Linked DNA regions of Saccharomyces cerevisiae S288C. The protein of the gene in region 1 purifies or fractionates together with the protein of each later gene. This does not show direct contact. Each region holds a gene or a part of one and is shown in the gene's direction. Other genes may lie near its edges.

Region 1 (4,658 bases):
TAGTTGTCTAGCGAGCTTAGCGCTTAGTTTTGAGTTGATAAAACTGTCGCTTTTAACACCGCAGCTATGTAGAAAATCCAGCAATGTCAGAATATCCGCTGAAGATCCAGTATCAACCTGTGCGAATTCTCTTTTTTTATAAAAATCTCTTAACTTTTTCCCCTCATTAGCTTCCTCGGCTGCCTCACTCTCTCTATTGTTACCTTCTAAACTTTTGCAAAATTTGATTGTATGTGTATCATCCCATAAAGTTTTTAAGTCACGATTTCGCCTGACGAATGTATTAAATATCACACCAAATACTGTAGACTCCATGTCAACTTTTTCATTATCATAAAAAAAGTCAAAGTTCTTTTTTCTCATATGATCCAAGCAATTTTCTTCTTCTTCCCTATCAGCTTCGGTACTGGAAGATGTAAGGTTTGGGATTAATGAATTCAAAAAACGCATTCTTACCATTCTGTGTCTCAAAAACTCATTAAGTGAGGTAAAAGAAGCTATGCAATGGACCGAAACGATAGTAGATGATAAATCAGTACCAATATTATCTTTGCTTGCATCGCCATCATAAACCAACTTAATTTTTATCTCTTTAGCCAGTGAAGATACACCACCACCATCGTGTAAACCGCAATCAACTATAGAGAAATTCTCCAGCCTTGTGAGAGCAGATTGTAGGATTTCTAAAAATCTGTCAATACAATCCTCAAATACCTCTAAAAATGATTTAGCAAGAATGAAATGGGATACCGTTGAGGATGTAATTCTTTTAGTTATGGAGGAAGCTAGCCCTGTAGAAGTAAATTCGAAACCTGACACGTCGAAATCTTCATGGAAAATACATTTTTTTAAAACAGACCAAATTCCCTTCCAATCCTCTTCAGTTTTGTCCGGAGTGGAAGGATTTTCTAAAATAGAAACAACGCCTTCGATTTGATGGAGCTCCTCTGTTATTGCTTCTTGCTCAACGTTCATCTGAGAAAGTACTCTATTAACTAGGTTCACACCCTTGTTTTTAATATAAGCTAGAGATAGAGTTCTGAAAATGTGTATTGAAATTTTCTTTGGTTTTACTGAATCAGGAATTTCCATATCAGTAAATTCGTAATCATATTCTTCATCACCCTCATCACATTCCTCAATACTGCTATGCAAATCCCCTTCTTCGTCAGAAAGTGAAATATTTTCATTCCCGTCTTCCTTTAAATCAATGTTATTGAAATCCACAGACAAATCCTTAACCAAATCAAAAATGCCCTCTCTTTTGATGGAAGGAAAGAACAGTTCGGAAAACTTTTTACAAATTAAGTCAAGCAACGAGAGACCACCAACCAACAGTGTACCAGCTTCTGATGAGTAAGTACCATTAGCGTTAGACGCTGTTTCTTTTTGGGCCAGGATAGATCCGATTAACTTAATAAGTTGATCATTGATTGCCTTTGCTGTGGAATTATTTATGCATGATACAACCCTCAGTAAAGCAATAAGTACGTATCTTCTTACGTCAAAGTCAGCAGCATTTGTATAAATTTCAACGAGAATTGGAATTAGACATTGAACTAGGGAATCAAACTTTTCCTGGTTAGAAATTACGCCACGGTCGCTATTTCCGGTATATTTATCCGCTGACAGTATTCTTTCATCCTCGGGAGGAAACAATACAACTATAAATCTAGAAATGCTAATCAATAAACTGTTTGGGACATAAATCAGTGTTTCATGTAACCCTGCGTTAGGACTTTTACTATAATGCTGGAATGATCGTGTTGCCATGTCGACAATGTCAGTTTTCTCTCTCAGTTCTCTTGAAAGTACATCACTACTCATCGCTAATACGGTTAAAATATCCAAACATTTCAGTTTATTCTCCAAGGGGGTATCCTGAATAGAAACTAGCTGAACTATTCTTTCGATTAAATCCAACGAAAACAAAGTCTCAAATTTGTCAACCCCATGCAACGCCCCGCAAATACCGTACATGGCATTTACAAGCCTGGTTAATATTGGTTGGTCTGTCGCATTCGAGAAAATTGGCTTCAGCGTTGGAAGTACTTCAACAATGGTCTTAAAGTCATCCGTTCGGATACTGCTACAGGCGTTCGAAACAATTGCGATAGCCTTCCTCTGCGCATGTATAGTTAAAAAATCGAAGAATTGGACGTAGATTGATAATTGGCCCGTTTTTAAAATGTCTCTCCCATGTACTCTAGAAATATATTCCACCGTTTCTAAAACTTGTTCTGCGAGGTCAATGTAACTGATCTCTACCAATTTTCCTTGTAAAATTGGTATAACGTGTTCATCAACAGCTATTGAAATAGATTCAGGGCAGACCTCAAAAAGATTATACATGCATCTACAAGCTTGCATTTGTAATTCTAATTCTTCCCGTAAAATTTTATCAGAGAGTATGGCAGCTATATTACCTATTAAGGTTTCCATCGGTATAATTCTATCGACAACCATTTGATTCATCATTAATATGTTTTCAGAAAGTTCTTTTAAACTCTCCATTGCAATATAAGGATCCTCGGAGGCATTCCCAGTATTCTCTATCAATTTAGAAATCCGCTCATTCCTTGCCGAACTCTCTGCGCTCCTCTCCATCCTTCCTCCAATCATCGATAAAATCTCGGGTAGTGTTCTTCCAACCGGGTGTTGCCCAAGTCCTTCACTTGTTTGTCTTCTTTGTTCTAGTCTTTGTGCGAATGTTTCCAAAATGTCAGGTAAATGTAGGGGGTTGCTGCCAAATTCATTATTATCGTGAGAACGTTCAAGTCCATCTTCTTCTTCATTTCTGTCTTCGTCACTGCCATTCTGAGTTCTATGATATCCATATAAAAGTCCAGAATCATCTTCATGATGGTAATCGTTATCGTCATCTTCACCATCATCTGCCTCAAAACTTCCGACGCTAGAAAGCATATGTTCATCTTCATCTTCATCAGGATAATAAGAGTACTCACCCTGTACATGGCCATCCTCATCATAGTCATCTTCTACCTGCGTATCCATCATATAATCACTGTTTTCGCTATGGGACTCATGTTCATCAAGGTTGTGCGAATTATTTTCAGACATGCTTGGCTACTCTTCTATTTTAAATGTTTATCCAAAATTTTCACACCTGAGATATATTGTTGTTAATAAAGCACACAGAAAGGAAAGTATCGATCCCAGAAAGTGGTCTTTCCCTGGGTATGATCAAAGCTATTCCCCTTTCCAACTACTGTTGGCTATGATCCCACAATTTGATTTCAGTTCAGAAAACCCAACCATTAGGACTTTACCCGGCGAAGGTGAAAGAAAAAATTTTTTTCCAGAAAAATGCGATGAGCTTTTGAAAAGTTGCAAATATTTGTAGTACTTTGGCTAAGCAGAGCTGATTCCTTTTGCTATACGTACATCACTGTCTATCGTCCATAAAAGATTTATTATAGTTGAATCATGCCAAGATCAAAACGTTCCAAGCTAGTCACTTTAGCACAAACCGATAAAAAGGGCAGAGAAAATAAAGAAAGAATTTTCGATGAAGTGAGGGAAGCCTTAGATACTTATAGATACGTCTGGGTCCTACATCTTGACGACGTAAGAACTCCAGTTTTACAAGAAATCAGAACATCTTGGGCAGGCTCTAAGTTAATTATGGGTAAGAGGAAAGTTTTACAAAAAGCATTGGGAGAAAAGAGGGAAGAAGAATACAAAGAAAATCTGTATCAATTGAGTAAGCTTTGTAGCGGTGTCACTGGTTTATTGTTCACTGATGAGGATGTCAACACTGTCAAGGAATACTTTAAGTCATACGTTCGTTCAGACTATTCAAGACCGAACACGAAAGCACCACTAACATTTACAATTCCTGAGGGCATTGTCTACTCACGTGGTGGTCAAATTCCAGCTGAGGAAGATGTTCCAATGATTCATTCTTTAGAGCCAACTATGAGAAACAAATTTGAAATTCCAACTAAAATCAAAGCTGGTAAGATCACCATTGACAGTCCATATTTAGTTTGCACTGAAGGAGAAAAATTAGATGTTCGTCAAGCTTTAATACTGAAACAATTCGGTATCGCTGCTTCTGAATTCAAAGTCAAGGTGTCGGCCTACTATGACAACGATAGCTCCACTGTTGAAAGCACTAACATCAACATGGAATAAGCTGAACTATTATTTGGAAGCCTTTTTTAATAGACCATTGTATAAAAATTTCTTTTTTTTGTATAGATATACTAAAGCAACGCTCATAAATGTAACATAGCTTCTTTTCAACTGAGAATTTATATTCATGCTAACTAAGCGTAAATCACTTTTGATCTTCACAGCTCTTTAGCGGCACGAAAGCAAGAAAAAAAGATAACACTGTATGTCTGGAAAAGAATACTATAAAAATACCTGTTTACATAAACCAATAAGGAAGAACGTGAGAGCAGGACCGTAAAAGAATTAATGTGTAAAGAATTAATGTGTAATGGTTATACTACTTAAAAACACCGTTTTCCTTCAAATATCCTTTTTCGTTGGAGTACTGTCAGTTGGAGTAGTGGAACTTTCATCACTTTCTTCGTCTGATTCACTATCACTTCTGTCATCCTTGAGAATACCTCTCCATAGAATCCTGTAAAGAACTCTAAAAATAAGGAACAGCCAATAAAGATTCA
Region 2 (4,569 bases), on another chromosome or scaffold:
ATGCTTTTCATGGTTTCTTGTTTAACAGTTTCTATCATAGGTCCACTGACATCCTCTTTAGGATCATCTAGAGTGATGACATCCTTCTCTTTCGTGAGAAACTTATTACTCTTTACCGTAGTTGTATTCTGGAAAAAAGATAGTATGCCTTTTTTCTTAGTGTCGTCCTGTAGAGGAATTGATTTGAGATGTTGCTCCATTTTCCCTTTTCCTTTCGATTCTCTTCTGTCTTGAGGTTCACTAAAACATATAATTCTCTGTAACAGCAATAACAGAATGTTCTTCTCCTCAACGAATTGGCTGGAAAAATGATGTATTTCAAGAAGTGGAACCAATAAGAATTTTATTTTTTAGTCAGTTCGCAAACCTTTTGGTTTAACGATGTAGATCTTTCTTTTTTTCAGTTGAAGCCTTTCACGCGTCCGAACGCGTGAGCATATATGCAAGCCGTCTGACACTATAGATCGCGCCAGGTAGGGAACCACTTGATCCAGCACGATGAGCCCGACAACTCAAAACTCCCTTCTTCTGTATCAAAATACTTTTCAGCATATCCATATCATTCTTCCTTTCTCTTCGTAAAGGCTGACTGGGCGCCGGGGACCCGCTAGTTTAGTAGTACTGTGAATATCGTCATTGTCGTACTGAACGATTATATATCGATCATTTTAATTAATGAAGTACATATCAAAAACTTGACTGGTATGAGTAGAAAGTTCAATTAAAAGGGCTGGAAAAATGGGGGAATAACAGAGAACATGAGCAAGGCTACGTGTTCCTTTGAGGGCTGTCATAGTGCAGTTATTACCATCAACGATGATAACATAATAAACTTACCAGAGCAGGTGCACAGCGAATTCAAGTTGCTGGAAAACAGAACTATGCGAGATGCTACCCCCAGCGAGAGCAACTTCTTGGTCGTCCCTGATGTTTGGGACTTTGATAATGTTGGTGTATCTAGAGAAATTCCTTCTTCTATATTAGGGGATTTGAGTGATAAGAGTGATTTTGTCTTTGAGTATGGTAATTCCAGCTGGAAGATTAAAAAGTGCTTGAAATATTTGATATGCGCTGATTGTGATAAAGGTCCTATTGGAATAATATGTAAGGTGCAAGATCAGACAAAGAATGAAGAAAGAGTTTTGCATCTACTAAGCTTGCGAAGCCTTCAAATTATGGGAAGGAATTAGTTTGGTAGGCACTAGAACAAAAATAGGTTGCCGCCACCAGAAAAAAAAAAGAGTAACCAACCACCTATTTCACTGGCATGGGCCACCTATAACAAGCTATAGAAGTAGTTCTGGTTTACATTACTAGCATCACTTTATGTAATAATATAGGCATTCTGGACGAAATCCTAATGGATGAGCATTACCCGTTTTTTCCGAGGGCCAAACGAAAATTTTCGGAAAATTTTTATTAATTAAAGATTTAAACCCATATTCCTTTGTGCAGATTTTTTCTTTTACTGTATGTAACGCAATATTCAATATTGCATAATTAAAAGAAGCCTCATCCCTCGTTGGTCTTATAGTATAATTACAAGAAGCAATACGACAGAGTATTTGGAACAAGAGCATAATTCAACTAACTCTAGAAAACAATAATGGCTACCAGGACTCAATTTGAAAACTCCAATGAAATCGGTGTATTCTCCAAATTAACGAATACTTACTGTTTGGTTGCTGTTGGTGGTTCTGAAAACTTTTACTCTGCATTTGAAGCTGAATTAGGAGATGCTATTCCCATCGTTCATACCACTATTGCTGGTACGCGTATCATCGGTAGAATGACCGCGGGTAACCGTAGAGGTCTGCTAGTTCCAACCCAAACTACTGATCAAGAATTACAACATTTAAGAAATAGTTTGCCGGATTCCGTTAAGATTCAAAGGGTAGAGGAAAGACTATCTGCCTTGGGTAACGTCATCTGTTGTAATGATTACGTTGCTTTAGTGCATCCAGATATCGACAGAGAAACTGAAGAATTGATAAGTGATGTACTAGGCGTTGAGGTCTTCCGTCAAACCATATCAGGTAATATCTTAGTTGGGTCATATTGTTCTTTAAGTAATCAAGGTGGGTTAGTGCATCCACAAACAAGTGTCCAAGATCAAGAAGAATTGTCCTCCTTATTACAAGTTCCTTTGGTGGCTGGTACCGTTAACCGTGGTAGTTCAGTTGTCGGTGCCGGTATGGTTGTGAACGATTACTTGGCAGTTACAGGTCTGGATACTACAGCCCCAGAATTGAGTGTTATTGAAAGTATTTTCCGCTTGCAAGATGCCCAACCAGAATCCATTTCAGGTAACCTACGTGATACTTTGATTGAAACCTACTCATAGATGTCAGGTACTCCTGAGGGGATTCCCCTCCTTCCTCAAGTCTGTTTACAGTTGTATGCGAAAGAGTCCCCATGTTGCAATAATCTTCTTACGTATCATTTGTGGTATTTTTTTTGGTATAACAAATATTTTTTCTTAGGTTTCTATGCATTTTAATTTTAGTTGTATGTATATTATGTACTCTTTTATTTTTTTTTTTTTTCTTATACCTATGGGTGACTATTCATTGCAGTTTAAGTAGGCGTCTTAATTGTAACATGTAGTCACTTTGTTCGAAGCATATGTAACGGGTTTCTAAGCAAATTCTTTGCATAATATGGATTTTCCGTCCGCTTCTCCGACTATTCTGACAACTTGCTCAGTTCCAAGTATCTGTTAGACAATATAGAACTTCTCCAAGAAAAATTGCACCGCACGTAGACCATTTGAAGGCTTTTTTGTCTAGCTGCTAGGACATACTATTGTCTCCACCAGAACCCGGAGAGTAGTATCTCTTGGCAAAGATTAATAAAATCGAACAAAGCTAATAGAACACCGGGGGTTGTGCGGTAAGATTTTCACAAGCGGTACAGAAGTGAGCCGTAAAATTATATATATATATATATATATATGGTGTACAACAAGTCAGCCGTCCATTTATGTGCTATCAAGCGAACTACGTTTCATCTCTTCAACTTGGTAGTTCTTGAGATATAAACACCCTGATCCATCGTACTCACTGAAATAGCAACAACTCCCTGAGTTCCATTGCCACGCATACCCACTCTCATATCCAGAAACAGCTAGTATTTCGATGTTTTTCCGCTCGAAGAAACTTCCGTAGTATTGTTGAGGTGTTGGGGGCATCGTTCCTTTTCGTACGCCAAAAATTCTTCCTCTATTGTTTCCAGAAAATCGTTGCAAAAAAATAAGTCCGCCACGCTGTTTTCTGTGACAACTCTATCTGGAGCCTTCACTAATGGTTTAAAAGGCACGATTTCCACAGAAAGTTTCGCAGCACTTGTTTGTACAAGGAGCGTAAAGCACCGGAAATCTTTTCCCACTGAAACCCTAAATATGAACGGCATTTGGTTGCCATGAGATACAGTCCCAAGAATTCTTTATATTATATAAGCGCTAGTTGTTGTCGCTCTTTTGACCTCATTGGTAGATATTTCAAATTACAAAATTATAATTGTTTTCTTGGTCCAACTTTTTTCTTCTTTTTGGAGGGCATTGCAAGGATCCAATACGATAAGCAAACGTCTTCATTGACCCGTTTCTAACTTTTAATATACATAAATTTTCATCTTCAACACTAATTAAATGTGGAGAACAAAAACGCTAGAATCTATGCTTTGTAGCCCAATGAAATGTTCATCGTCTAACATAGGGGGATCCTATGCGCAATCTTCAAAGGAAGTCTCGAACACGACCAAAAGGGAAGTGCATCTTCCACCTTGTTCGTCGATTATGCACGCTCCACTTACTCCTGAAATAAACCAGGCCGCACTACCACCTCCCGCTTACCATTACGCACCTTCTTCTCTGCATCAGACAGAGGATCCCGTATGGAGATCAAGTCCCAACTCTATTATCTTTTCGCCGGTTATAGCAACACCGCAACCTTTCCCTTTAACGTTCGTTGAACGTCAATCTTGTTGCCCTATTTATTCAACGGCAGCTTCCTCTTATACTGCCCAATCTGTACCTCCATCAATGCAGCATTTTCAGGAGGAAAACCACAGAGCGGTGAGCAACGAGCAGTACTCCCTCCCGAATGTGCATATAGGGCAAAATCCTGGGACGCTATTATCCCAAACACAAACCGACTTAGATCTTATACAAAAGCAACTGCGCGCTGTGGTAAAGCTACGGAAACAATGTCCTATCTGTGGGAAGGTTTGTTCGAGACCTTCAACACTGAGGACTCATTACTTAATACATACGGGAGACACACCTTTCAAATGTACTTGGGAGCATTGCAACAAATCTTTCAATGTCAAGAGTAACATGTTAAGGCATTTAAGAACCCATCAAAAGAAAATAGCAAAGAAAAAACATCAGTGAAAGCATTGTTTAGAATATTTTGTTTTCAGTGTGATTTTGATGTAGGTGTGACACTTTTTACCAAGTAAAATGAGTATAGATATGTATTAGTTCCATATAATATATTACATGTAGCCAACAATCAATTTTTACTGACTTCCGATTTTTGAATAGTGAGAGGATTTTTGTTCGAATTA
Region 3 (6,071 bases), on another chromosome or scaffold:
TTCAGTATTTTTTTTTATTTTGTCGGGGCCACCAGATCTTTAATGGCAAGACAAAGCGTTTTCAGATACATGAAATACATTGAAGCTATCTTTTTGAAGAAGAATACCTGCGTAGTGTTCTATGATTGTTCAAATAATATTTTAAAATGGTATTTTACTACTGTGTACATTTTATATGCTTAAATAAAAAAGAAAGTAGAGCACCCAATGTACGTGTGGTAAGGAAATAAATGTTCATAATTTTCATTAATGCATCAAACGGGATAAATGTTTTGGAAGAACGCAAATTTTGAAAATAGATTCCATTGGCTCTTGATAGTTGCTTTACGTATATTTTGTTTAGCCTTCTTTCCCTCATATAAGTATGCAGCTCTTCATTTTCCAAACCAGGATGAGATATGGATATATAGTTTCCCACTGAATCTTTGTGTCAATGCTACGCCCATCTTCTGCACGTCAGAACAGAATAACTACCTTGAGAAGAAAAAAAAAATACAAATGGTGGTTACTTGATAATGAATATGCTCTAATTGAAAAGAAATCTCCCTAGATATGATACCGCCCTCGACGACCCGATCTTTGGTATTTGGTAGGACTGTATCATCTTATTCCTCACATCATAGCAATTTTGTTCGTCATAATGTTCCTTTAGTTCTCAGAGTCATATGAATTCTATTTCCATAGAATTTTCCATTTTGAGCAATACGGGGAGTCGCTACCTCGATTCTAAGTTATGCTGCATTGACTTTATTGTGTGATATACATATCGATGTACTAGAAAGGGTTTGGTTTGGCCAAGTTTTTTATTATGAGGGTGCATTTTTTCTGTTTTAACACATTTCTCATGATCCTAATAGAAGGTTGAGTAGAGATGTACATAATATTTTGCGGAAAGTTTCGACACGTTCATTAGGTTCTAAAAAATTATTATTTTTCATAAGCTATTGAGATCTTATCACCTTGCTCTGTAATTCTAAAGTTGTTCTAAAACCGCAATTAATGTTTCAATTTTGGCGCTATTAATAATGATGGATACTCAACGAGGCGTACCAGTAGCATTTTGCCATCTTAACACATTAGCAAACGTTGCTATTATTGATCCTTCCATAAGTAATTTCACACATCCATTTTCGTCCCTAAGATAAAACAAAGTCTCACAATTCGTATATTGATATTTCAAACCCCAAAGCCTGTAGCCTTTTGATTATGACCGACTTCCCAGACGTGGCCATATTGATAAAGGTGCTTTCTGATCAAAGTTAGTATTAAAGAAAGGGTAAAATTCGTAATATCGTAATATTGTAATATGAACCAAAAACGTTCACAATGTGTAGGATGCACTACCAAATAGGTTGCGTTGTAGTACTCATCTCTCGGTTGCGCGACTAGAAAGTTACTAGAAAACTCCGGAATTCCTTATAATATACTGCAATAATGCACATGTATCTTTTCAGTGCAAATTAATTATAGGAACAAACAGATAGCGACAATTCTTTAAGGGCTGCTGGATTGACAACCCCTTCATCGACCATATTTGATTAGCCAGCCACCAAATAGCGTTTCAATTGACAAACTACATTATCTCGTGAAGAATATTTAAACGGTGATATTGGGTCTGTCTGATCACATTTCCAAAGGCAATGACGTGTAAATTTTTTCTTTCTCTTGTTTTATTATTTTGAATTACTTCGTTATAGCCAGCTTTTCTCACATTGCGCAGTAAAACTTTCGCTATTAAGATTTTGAAAAATTTCAACCTGACAAACTACCCATTGCTATGTAAGTACAAAGCAAACAGTTTACTGCAGCAGAGTGAAGTAAATTTTTACGCATGAGTGAAAAAGTAAATAGTGACTTTGAAGACTTTTCCTCAGATGAGGAAACCGATCAACATAACGTCTTAATTCAGACCAAGAAAAAAATTTCTAGTAAGGATGATATCTTCAGTAAGAAGGTAGAAGACATCGAAAGTGAAAACGAGTCAGACATAGAAGAAGAGCAAAAACAAGAAGAAAAAGAGGATGTAGAACAACCAGATAAAGAGAATGGAGAAAAGCTCGATCGAGAAGTAGAAGAACAAGCTTCGTCCACCACTTCACTGGATTTAAAAACAGAAAAACTAAGGCAACTGGTAAAATCAAAGGCCGCCAAGAAGTCTAAACACAAGACTGGGGTGGTATACTTCTCCAGTATTCCACCTTACATGAAACCTGCAAAAATGAGACAAATATTAACTCGTTTTGGTGAGGTAGATAGACTATTTCTAAAGAAAGAGGACGATCAAAAGTACAAGCAAAGAGTTAAAGGTGGAGGAAACAAGAAAAACAAGTATGAAGAAGGTTGGGCCGAGTTTATTAGGAAAAGAGACGCCAAATTGTGTGCGGAGACGTTGAACGGGAACATTATTGGTGGCAAGAAAGGTACTTTCTACCATGATGATATCCTGAACGTGAAGTACCTCCCAGGTTTCAAATGGGCAGATTTGACTGAACAGATTGCCCGCGAGAACGATATCAGACAGGCCAAGTTGGAGATGGAAATCTCGCAGGCCAACAAACTGAACGCGGAATTCATTAGAAACGTGGAGCAAAGTAAGATGATACAAAACATTAAGAACTCTAGGAAGCGCGCCGGAAAAGAAGGAGAGTCTGCAGATTCTCACCCTCACAGGGAATTTAAACAACGTCGTGTGGAAACAAGCCGTGCCAATGCTCCCTCTGATATCAAGCAGCAATCCTCTGGGTCCAAAGACTTGGGTAATGTTCTCACCAATTTACTATAATATAGAATCAATAACAAATATATAAACACAACCTGTCATTTAGCACGTTTTTTTGCCCGATGCTCATCGCAAAAATTTTTCGCTTGAAGAAAAATTTTTCACTTTTCTTCTTTTTGGGCATATAAAGAAGCGTAGAATATATAAAAGATATTTACTACTTGTTAGTACTTTCCCTTAAGTGTTAACTTTGAAGATCTGTTGACTTGCAGCAAAACCACTAAATATCAGGGGAGGAATAATACAATGGGTACTGGTAAGAAAGAGAAATCTAGACGTATTCGTGAAGGTGACACCAAAGATGGTAATCTTCGTGTGAAGGGTGAAAATTTCTACAGAGACTCCAAGAGAGTCAAATTCCTGAATATGTACACTAGTGGGAAGGAGATCAGGAATAAGAAAGGTAATTTAATTAGGGCCGCTTCTTTCCAGGACTCCACAATACCGGATGCGAGGGTCCAACCAGATCGTCGTTGGTTCGGTAACACAAGAGTGATATCTCAGGACGCACTGCAGCATTTCAGAAGTGCATTGGGTGAAACCCAAAAAGATACATATCAAGTTCTTCTGAGAAGAAATAAGCTTCCCATGTCATTGTTGGAAGAAAAGGACGCAGATGAATCCCCAAAAGCCAGAATTTTGGATACCGAAAGTTATGCTGATGCGTTTGGGCCCAAAGCCCAAAGAAAGAGACCACGTCTTGCTGCATCCAATCTAGAGGACTTGGTCAAGGCTACAAATGAAGACATTACCAAGTATGAGGAAAAGCAAGTCTTAGATGCCACATTAGGACTAATGGGGAACCAGGAAGACAAAGAAAATGGGTGGACCTCCGCAGCAAAAGAAGCTATTTTCAGTAAGGGTCAATCCAAACGTATTTGGAACGAATTATATAAAGTCATCGATTCGTCTGACGTGGTAATACATGTTCTAGATGCAAGGGATCCATTGGGTACCCGTTGTAAGTCCGTGGAAGAGTATATGAAGAAGGAAACACCACACAAGCATTTAATTTATGTTCTTAATAAGTGTGATTTGGTACCTACCTGGGTTGCAGTATGTTAACTTTTTTTTTTTTTTTTTTGATTCTTTCCAACCAAGAGGATAGCACGAGAGATTTTTTTTTTCGATAGAGTATGATTTTTATTACCAAACCTTTTTGTCAGGGTGCTTCTCTATCCGTTTTAGGATAAACTTATCTACAGAAGTGTCTGTTACTGTTTTGGAAGAGTAATACTGTTCGCTTATCCATATTTCCCCGTTCTGGGGAAGCCTCATGGGTAAATTAGAAGGACAACCTTTGTTTTAAAGGTATACCTTCGCTTTTTAGAACAGCGAGGATCTTATGAGTTGAGCTTTTGTTATTTGAGACTTTATCTCGGGCTCCATACAATATGTTCGTAGTAAAGATCCTCACAATTTTCTACTTTTTTTTTTTTTTTAGTTTAATCCACTCTTCGAAACAATCAATCTCGGCTATAACAATGATTATTACATTCTCTTGGGGCAAAAGATTACCTATTATGAAACAAAATGTATTTTTTACTAACAGAAGGTTTTTTTTTTTCAATTCTAACTTTACAAGTAGGCAGCTTGGGTCAAACATTTGTCAAAGGAACGTCCAACTTTGGCGTTTCACGCATCTATTACCAACTCTTTCGGTAAAGGTTCGTTAATTCAGTTGCTACGTCAGTTCTCACAGTTGCATACTGATAGAAAGCAAATATCTGTAGGGTTTATCGGCTATCCAAACACTGGTAAATCGTCCATCATTAACACATTGAGAAAGAAAAAGGTGTGTCAAGTTGCACCAATCCCTGGTGAAACTAAGGTCTGGCAATATATTACTCTTATGAAAAGAATTTTTTTGATTGATTGTCCAGGTATTGTGCCGCCTTCTAGTAAAGACTCCGAAGAAGACATTTTATTCAGAGGTGTTGTCAGAGTCGAACACGTCACACACCCAGAACAATATATTCCAGGTGTTTTAAAACGTTGTCAGGTAAAGCACTTGGAAAGAACTTACGAGATCTCAGGATGGAAGGATGCCACGGAGTTTATTGAAATTCTGGCAAGGAAACAAGGTAGATTACTGAAGGGTGGTGAGCCTGATGAGTCTGGTGTTTCTAAGCAAATATTGAATGATTTTAATAGAGGTAAAATCCCTTGGTTCGTCCTTCCACCTGAAAAGGAAGGGGAAGAAAAACCAAAGAAGAAAGAAGTTGAGAAGACGGCATAGAGGTAAAAACGGACAACCGGTGTATAATATTAATTTAAGATTACAAGTGATTTTTTTTTTCTTTTTTTTTGTTATTTTTTTTTTTGTTCTTATTATATGGCAGCAAACATTCTTGGGGAAACAACATAGATGGGTAATTATTTAGTTTATAAAGTATAATATTCCAATAGAAAACTTAAGTTCGGTAATGATATAGCCCTCTCTATAGTATAAGGTAAATCTCATTATACCAGTCATTCCAAACGGAATTCGGTCCTTACCCGCTGCTCGCTCTTTTTTCATCATTATGATATTTTCTTTATTGAGTCTTTTCAATTATAGTAGTAGAATGATAACTGACAAGAAAGATCAGTTTGAAGTTTATTAGCGTGTCTCGTTATCAGGGCTTCCTTGTTTTTCATACTGGAAATACTTCGAACGATTAGAAACAGGCAACTCAATTTTATACATTTATAAAGGGTCAAAAAGGATTATGCAATCTATGAATGTACAACCGAGGGTATTAGCTGTAGGAGGTGAGCAGTTTTTCTCTCAGAGGCAGGCTTCTGAACAACACCAGCAGCAAAACATGGGACCTCAGGTGTATTCGCCAAAGGTTAATAGAGCAAGAATGTTTCCTCAAGGGATGCCTGTAAATACAATTAATGGCTCTGTTAATCAGGAGATGAACAATGCCTATCTTTTGAAGCAGAAGAACGAGCCACTGTTAACTCAGCAACAACAGCAACAGCAACAACAACAGCAGCCATTTAATATAGGAACGCCTGTTTCGGTGGCTAGTTTGCCGCCCGGACTGAACGTTCTGCAGCAACAACAACAGCAGCAACAACAACAGCAGCAACAGCAGCAGGGAGTGGGACTCAATCGTCCCTTGGCTTCCCAGCTACCCAAGCATTTAACCAACCAAAGTATGCCACCGATCTTTTTACCACCCCCAAATTATCTTTTCGTTCGCGATGTCTGGAAGTCCAACCTTTACAGTGAATTCGCCGTTATAAGACAACTGGTCTCGCAGTATAATCATGTGTCAATCAGTACTGAGTTTGTGGGGAC
Region 4 (5,244 bases), on another chromosome or scaffold:
TCGACGTAATAGTCACATTTTGAAATACATTCCAGAGTTTCGTCGTCTGTGGTACAGTCAAAGGGCGTATAGCCGAAGGCCATGAAATATGTCAGTACACCAAGGGCCCATATATCCACCGGACAACCATACTTGTCTAGTTTGCCAACTTGATCAGGAGTCATTTCACCGACACCTTTGCACTTGACGATTTCTGGAGCAATATACGAGATGGTTCCAACAAACTCCTTTAACGAGTTTACCTTACTTGTGTTATATTCAGCAGCAAGACCAAAATCGGCGAGAACTAGGTCGTGTGCCAAGAGATCGTATTTGAAATCTCCGTGGTGTTCACCCTGTAGGTTTTTTTCGTTTTCGTTCACTCTCAATCTGAATAAGACGTTTTCTGCTTTCAAGTCTCTATGAACAATACCTTGAGAATGCAAAAACTCGAGAACGCTCACCAAACAGGCGCAGTACGAGGTAACTTGAGTTTCGAGGTCTAAACACTGATTTTCAACAATTTTTTCATACAAATCTCCCTTCTGACACAGCTGAGTGATCAGGACAATGTTATCTGCCGTCTCAAAATAGTCGAAAAGTTGTAAAATATGGTGATGCCCCTCAAAAATGTCCAAAGAATGTTCATTCTTTTTTTCCATATCTCTGATTTTCTCGCTTATTGACCTCAAAAGGTCGAACTCTCTTTGAATAAGTTGAATTTTGTTCTTGACAGTTTGTTTCTTAATAAGCTTCATCGCGTACAAATCCTTTGTGTGTATATTCATACATTCTTTCACGACGCTAAAATTCCCATCGCCCAAGGAGTTGTGGTTGGTTACGTATTTACATTTGAAGGTTTGAGCGTCTGCATTGCTGCCACTCAGTTGCGGCCAAGGTTTTTCTTCCGGCAGGCGCTGTTGTAGCTGGGAAGCAGAAGAACTAGCTGTAGTCATATCCTGGATGTGTATTTTTCTTTTTGAACTGTTGTAATGTCAATTGTATGAAAATATCGCGGTTTGGCTGAGACAGTCGTGGTAGGTAACTGAAGGAGCAAACAAGAAATTAATAAATAAACAAGTTAGCAAAACAAATAAAAAAACTGTCACTCTAAATAGAAAGAAGTAAAGAAGCAGAAGAAGTCATCCCCGTTCGACACGTTTTCATATTCTGAGTACATGATAAACCCCGCCCTCTTTTTCTTTTTTTAGGAATCCCCCTTTCTATTGTCAGAACAAGAAAGCGGTGTTGGAATTCAAGCAGCTTTTTTTTTTTCTTTTCGTCATACAGTTTCTTTTTCAGGAGTCTTGGTAGCACCCCACCCGTGGAATCGGCGGAATAACCTAACACGTGGAGGTTTTTCCGAGGTGCCAAAAAAGGAAAAACAAAGAGAAGCTGAAATCGGAATTTGAAGAATAGCGTGGGGGGGAGGGGGTTATTCAAGGAGCGCCTGTACCGGCAACGATAGCTTCGGCGGCTAAGATGGCAAACCTAATAGATGTATGTAAAAACATGGATGATAGCAGGCGGTGAACAGCCATGGTAATTTTAGGGAGTGCAAAAGTTATATGTAAGGCTATATCTGTATCAGTTAACAGGGGTGGAAAATGATTTGATAGGCGCAATATGTTTATTGGTAAAAGAGCATCTTAAACCACTTCATTCCATTTCTCACTATCACAAGTGATATATTATGTGTATTTTGCAATCCATGACGCTTTAATGCTTTACAAAGCGCTGCTACTTCTATTTTCTTAACGTAAAGAGGAGTGTATGACGACTAAGAATTGTTTACCCGGCGAGAGTCGATTCTTCGTTACCCGAATTGAAAATTTTTTATTTGCTTTTTCTTTTTTTTTTTTTTTTTTTTTTCAATATTAGCTTTAGCGATGAGATGAGATTTTATAGTGTATACACGGTACTTGAGTACATAGCTATTGGATAACTGTATACTATAATAATTAGATAAGCTGAGCAATATTAACAGGAGAAGTATGGCTACCCCGTCAAATAAACGTTCTAGAGATTCTGAATCTACAGAAGAACCTGTAGTAGATGAAAAGAGCACTTCAAAACAAAACAATGCCGCACCTGAGGGAGAACAAACTACTTGTGTGGAAAAGTTCGAAGAACTAAAGTTATCACAGCCAACTTTAAAGGCCATTGAAAAGATGGGATTTACCACTATGACTTCTGTTCAGGCAAGGACTATCCCACCTCTTTTGGCCGGTAGGGATGTTCTTGGTGCTGCCAAGACAGGTTCTGGTAAAACTCTAGCGTTTCTCATCCCTGCTATTGAACTATTGCATTCTTTGAAATTCAAACCAAGAAATGGTACCGGTATAATTGTCATTACGCCTACAAGAGAGTTGGCTTTACAGATTTTTGGAGTGGCAAGAGAGTTAATGGAATTCCATTCACAGACATTTGGTATTGTCATTGGTGGTGCAAATAGAAGACAGGAAGCCGAAAAATTGATGAAAGGTGTTAACATGTTGATTGCTACCCCTGGAAGATTATTGGATCACTTACAAAATACAAAAGGATTTGTATTCAAGAACTTGAAGGCTTTGATTATCGATGAAGCGGACAGAATCTTAGAAATTGGGTTTGAAGATGAAATGAGGCAGATAATTAAGATCTTGCCAAACGAAGATAGGCAATCCATGTTATTTTCAGCTACACAAACGACCAAAGTTGAGGATTTGGCTAGAATCTCGCTGAGACCGGGCCCTCTTTTCATTAATGTCGTTCCTGAAACCGACAACTCCACCGCAGATGGATTAGAACAAGGCTATGTGGTATGTGACAGTGATAAGAGATTTTTGTTGTTATTTTCTTTCTTGAAAAGAAATCAAAAAAAGAAAATTATTGTATTTTTATCATCTTGTAACTCTGTGAAATATTACGCTGAATTATTGAACTATATTGATTTGCCAGTCCTCGAATTACACGGTAAGCAAAAACAACAAAAGAGAACAAATACATTTTTCGAATTCTGTAATGCGGAAAGAGGTATCTTGATTTGTACAGATGTCGCAGCTAGAGGGCTAGATATCCCTGCTGTGGACTGGATCATTCAATTCGACCCTCCTGATGATCCAAGAGATTATATTCATAGAGTCGGAAGAACCGCAAGAGGCACTAAAGGTAAGGGTAAATCTTTAATGTTTTTAACACCTAATGAATTAGGGTTTTTAAGATATCTAAAGGCTTCCAAGGTCCCATTAAATGAGTACGAATTCCCGGAAAACAAAATTGCAAACGTTCAATCACAATTAGAAAAATTAATTAAATCCAACTATTATCTACATCAAACAGCCAAGGATGGTTATAGATCTTATTTACAAGCGTACGCTTCCCACTCTTTGAAAACTGTCTATCAAATCGATAAGCTGGATTTAGCCAAAGTAGCAAAGTCTTACGGTTTTCCAGTCCCTCCAAAGGTTAACATTACAATTGGTGCCAGTGGAAAAACGCCAAATACCAAAAGACGTAAAACTCATAAGTAATTTCAGAGGATCAATTTTTAATGCTATTAATGTGTACGTGGAACCAACACAACCGAAGTATTCATCTTCTGTTCTCATCGCACTCCTTTTCCTTTCTCTGCTTCTCCACTGTATGTCATTTAAATAAATGTATAAACCGCTGTTTTCTGTTTGTTGTCTTCTACGTACGTTGTCTGTATCAACCTGCACATATTTGAGTATGTAAAATCATGATTTGTAAACTATTGTAAAAAAACTTCATTGATATGAAAATCTGTCGTCTGCTCAATATTTTGTCTTCACTGTTCCCTTTATGCATCCCATGACGCCATTGAAAAGCAAAACTTCGTTGCCAACGGTAAGGCTTCCTATATCTATATCTCCCTCTTCAATAAGGCCGAGCCGCAATAAATAATGACGCATTGTTCCGCACAAACATCCAGTTGCTAATCTTGGTGTCACATACTTTTTAGAACCGTTAGGATCTTTTTGAATTACAGCCACGTTTGTTATTGAACCTTCCATCAGCAGGCCAGATTTGTTGGAAAATAAAATTTCGCATTGCGAGACAGAAGAAGTAGGTTCTGAACCTCTTAAGTTATTTATAGCAGTTTGCATGCGAACTCTCGCCCTAGCGTAATGATCTCTTGAAGTGGTTTTAAAACTGGTGAAAGCTGATGCGTTCAATGGTTCAGATGAAACAACAACATCCCAATTTATTGTGCTATCAATTAAAAATCCATTGAGCATCGTTTTGATGAAGTATGTGGAAACACTGTCATAATCGGTTGTTAATTTTAGGATAGGCTCCATAGGCATTGGAATTGCCTCAATTCGTATATCTCCTGTCTTAGAGACAAGTACCCGCATTTTATAGCATTGCCTTTCGTTGATCATTTTTTGAATTTTTTCGTGATACTCTGAATTTCCTTCTTTACAATTAATCAAGTTTTCAACCAATAACTTCAATAAATCATTCAGAGACGTGCTGAAGTCAATTTTAAAGTATGATAATGCTATTCTTATTCTTTGGTATTGTTCATCTAATAAAAAAAATCGTTCATAAATGACTTGTAGCATATCTTCTACACGCTGGCACACAATGGTCTTGCAATCATGCTTCCAAGCATCAGGATGCTGAATATTTTCGAGAAGGTCACCGCCGGAATTAACCTCCCTTACTCGTAAATAACTTGAGTAATCCTCATTAATTATCTGCTGCCTAATATCTTCGTCTCTCAAACCTAATCGAGGGTCTGGAGTTTCAAAGATCTCTTTCTTTGACGCTGACTGGCGTGCAAAACCAGGGTCGTACCTGAAAGTGGCCAGAACCTCGAAGTTCGGATTAGCAACTAGGCCTCCTTCATCGTAACTTTCCATATCAGTCTTCCAATTGTCCATTAGTGACATCTATTTCTTATTATCCATGTCTCGCTCTTCATCTTTCTTTTACTCACTTTCACAAAATTTTTTCCTGCCCTTTTTTTTCCAATAGCAGGTTCTGTTTATATTTCATCATAATCTATGAAGGCATCGTGACGTGATGATATAGGTGTGTCAAGTAAAATATTCTTACAAGTTGTGGTTATTTATATGCTCTATATATATTCACAGAACTAAATCCAGTTCTTCTATATATTCTTCATTGTTGTCTGGTGTAACGGGGTAAAAAGGTACCATGGCGTCCTGGTACATTACGTACATGTTATTATACACCCTCCAAAATGCTTTCCTTACATTCTTCGCTGGATGGAACAATCCTGCCCATATGTAG

What was found.
Region 2: the proteins of MRT4 (region 1) and TIF6 purify together in Saccharomyces cerevisiae (affinity purification with mass spectrometry; 7 studies listed by BioGRID, with this or other methods). This does not show direct contact.
Region 3: the proteins of MRT4 (region 1) and NOG2 purify together in Saccharomyces cerevisiae (affinity purification with mass spectrometry; 8 studies listed by BioGRID, with this or other methods). This does not show direct contact.
Region 4: the proteins of MRT4 (region 1) and HAS1 purify together in Saccharomyces cerevisiae (affinity purification with mass spectrometry; 5 studies listed by BioGRID, with this or other methods). This does not show direct contact.

Annotation. Positions count from the first base shown.
Region 1 is NC_001143.9:422,795-427,452, forward strand, and holds MRT4 (ribosome assembly factor MRT4), read left to right. Parts: upstream 1-3,447; coding exon 3,448-4,158; downstream 4,159-4,658. Other genes in the region: putative ubiquitin-protein ligase UFD4, read right to left, coding at 1-3,081; sphingosine N-acyltransferase LAC1, read right to left, coding at 4,501-4,658. UniProt on the Saccharomyces cerevisiae protein: Component of the ribosome assembly machinery. Nuclear paralog of the ribosomal protein P0, it binds pre-60S subunits at an early stage of assembly in the nucleolus, and is replaced by P0 in cytoplasmic pre-60S subunits and mature 80S ribosomes.
Region 2 is NC_001148.4:590,107-594,675, reverse strand, and holds TIF6 (translation initiation factor 6), read left to right. Parts: upstream 1-1,606; coding exon 1,607-2,344; downstream 2,345-4,569. Other genes in the region: RLF2 (Rlf2p), read right to left, coding at 1-200; guanine nucleotide exchange factor DSS4, read left to right, coding at 759-1,190; YPR015C (uncharacterized protein), read left to right, coding at 3,650-4,393. UniProt on the Saccharomyces cerevisiae protein: Binds to the 60S ribosomal subunit and prevents its association with the 40S ribosomal subunit to form the 80S initiation complex in the cytoplasm. Is also involved in ribosome biogenesis.
Region 3 is NC_001146.8:720,067-726,137, reverse strand, and holds NOG2 (putative GTPase NOG2), read left to right. Parts: upstream 1-3,025; coding exon 3,026-3,835; intron 3,836-3,926; exon of another isoform or gene 3,927-4,200; intron 4,201-4,367; coding exon 4,368-5,018; downstream 5,019-6,071. Other genes in the region: RNA-binding ATPase activator ESF2, read left to right, coding at 1,832-2,782; CCR4-NOT core DEDD family RNase subunit POP2, read left to right, coding at 5,491-6,071. UniProt on the Saccharomyces cerevisiae protein: GTPase that associates with pre-60S ribosomal subunits in the nucleolus and is required for their nuclear export and maturation.
Region 4 is NC_001145.3:848,321-853,564, reverse strand, and holds HAS1 (ATP-dependent RNA helicase HAS1), read left to right. Parts: upstream 1-1,973; coding exon 1,974-3,491; downstream 3,492-5,244. Other genes in the region: protein kinase TDA1, read right to left, coding at 1-935; aminodeoxychorismate lyase ABZ2, read right to left, coding at 3,756-4,880; U2 snRNP complex subunit HSH155, read right to left, coding at 5,079-5,244. UniProt on the Saccharomyces cerevisiae protein: ATP-dependent RNA helicase involved in 40S ribosomal subunit biogenesis. Required for the processing and cleavage of 35S pre-rRNA at sites A0, A1, and A2, leading to mature 18S rRNA.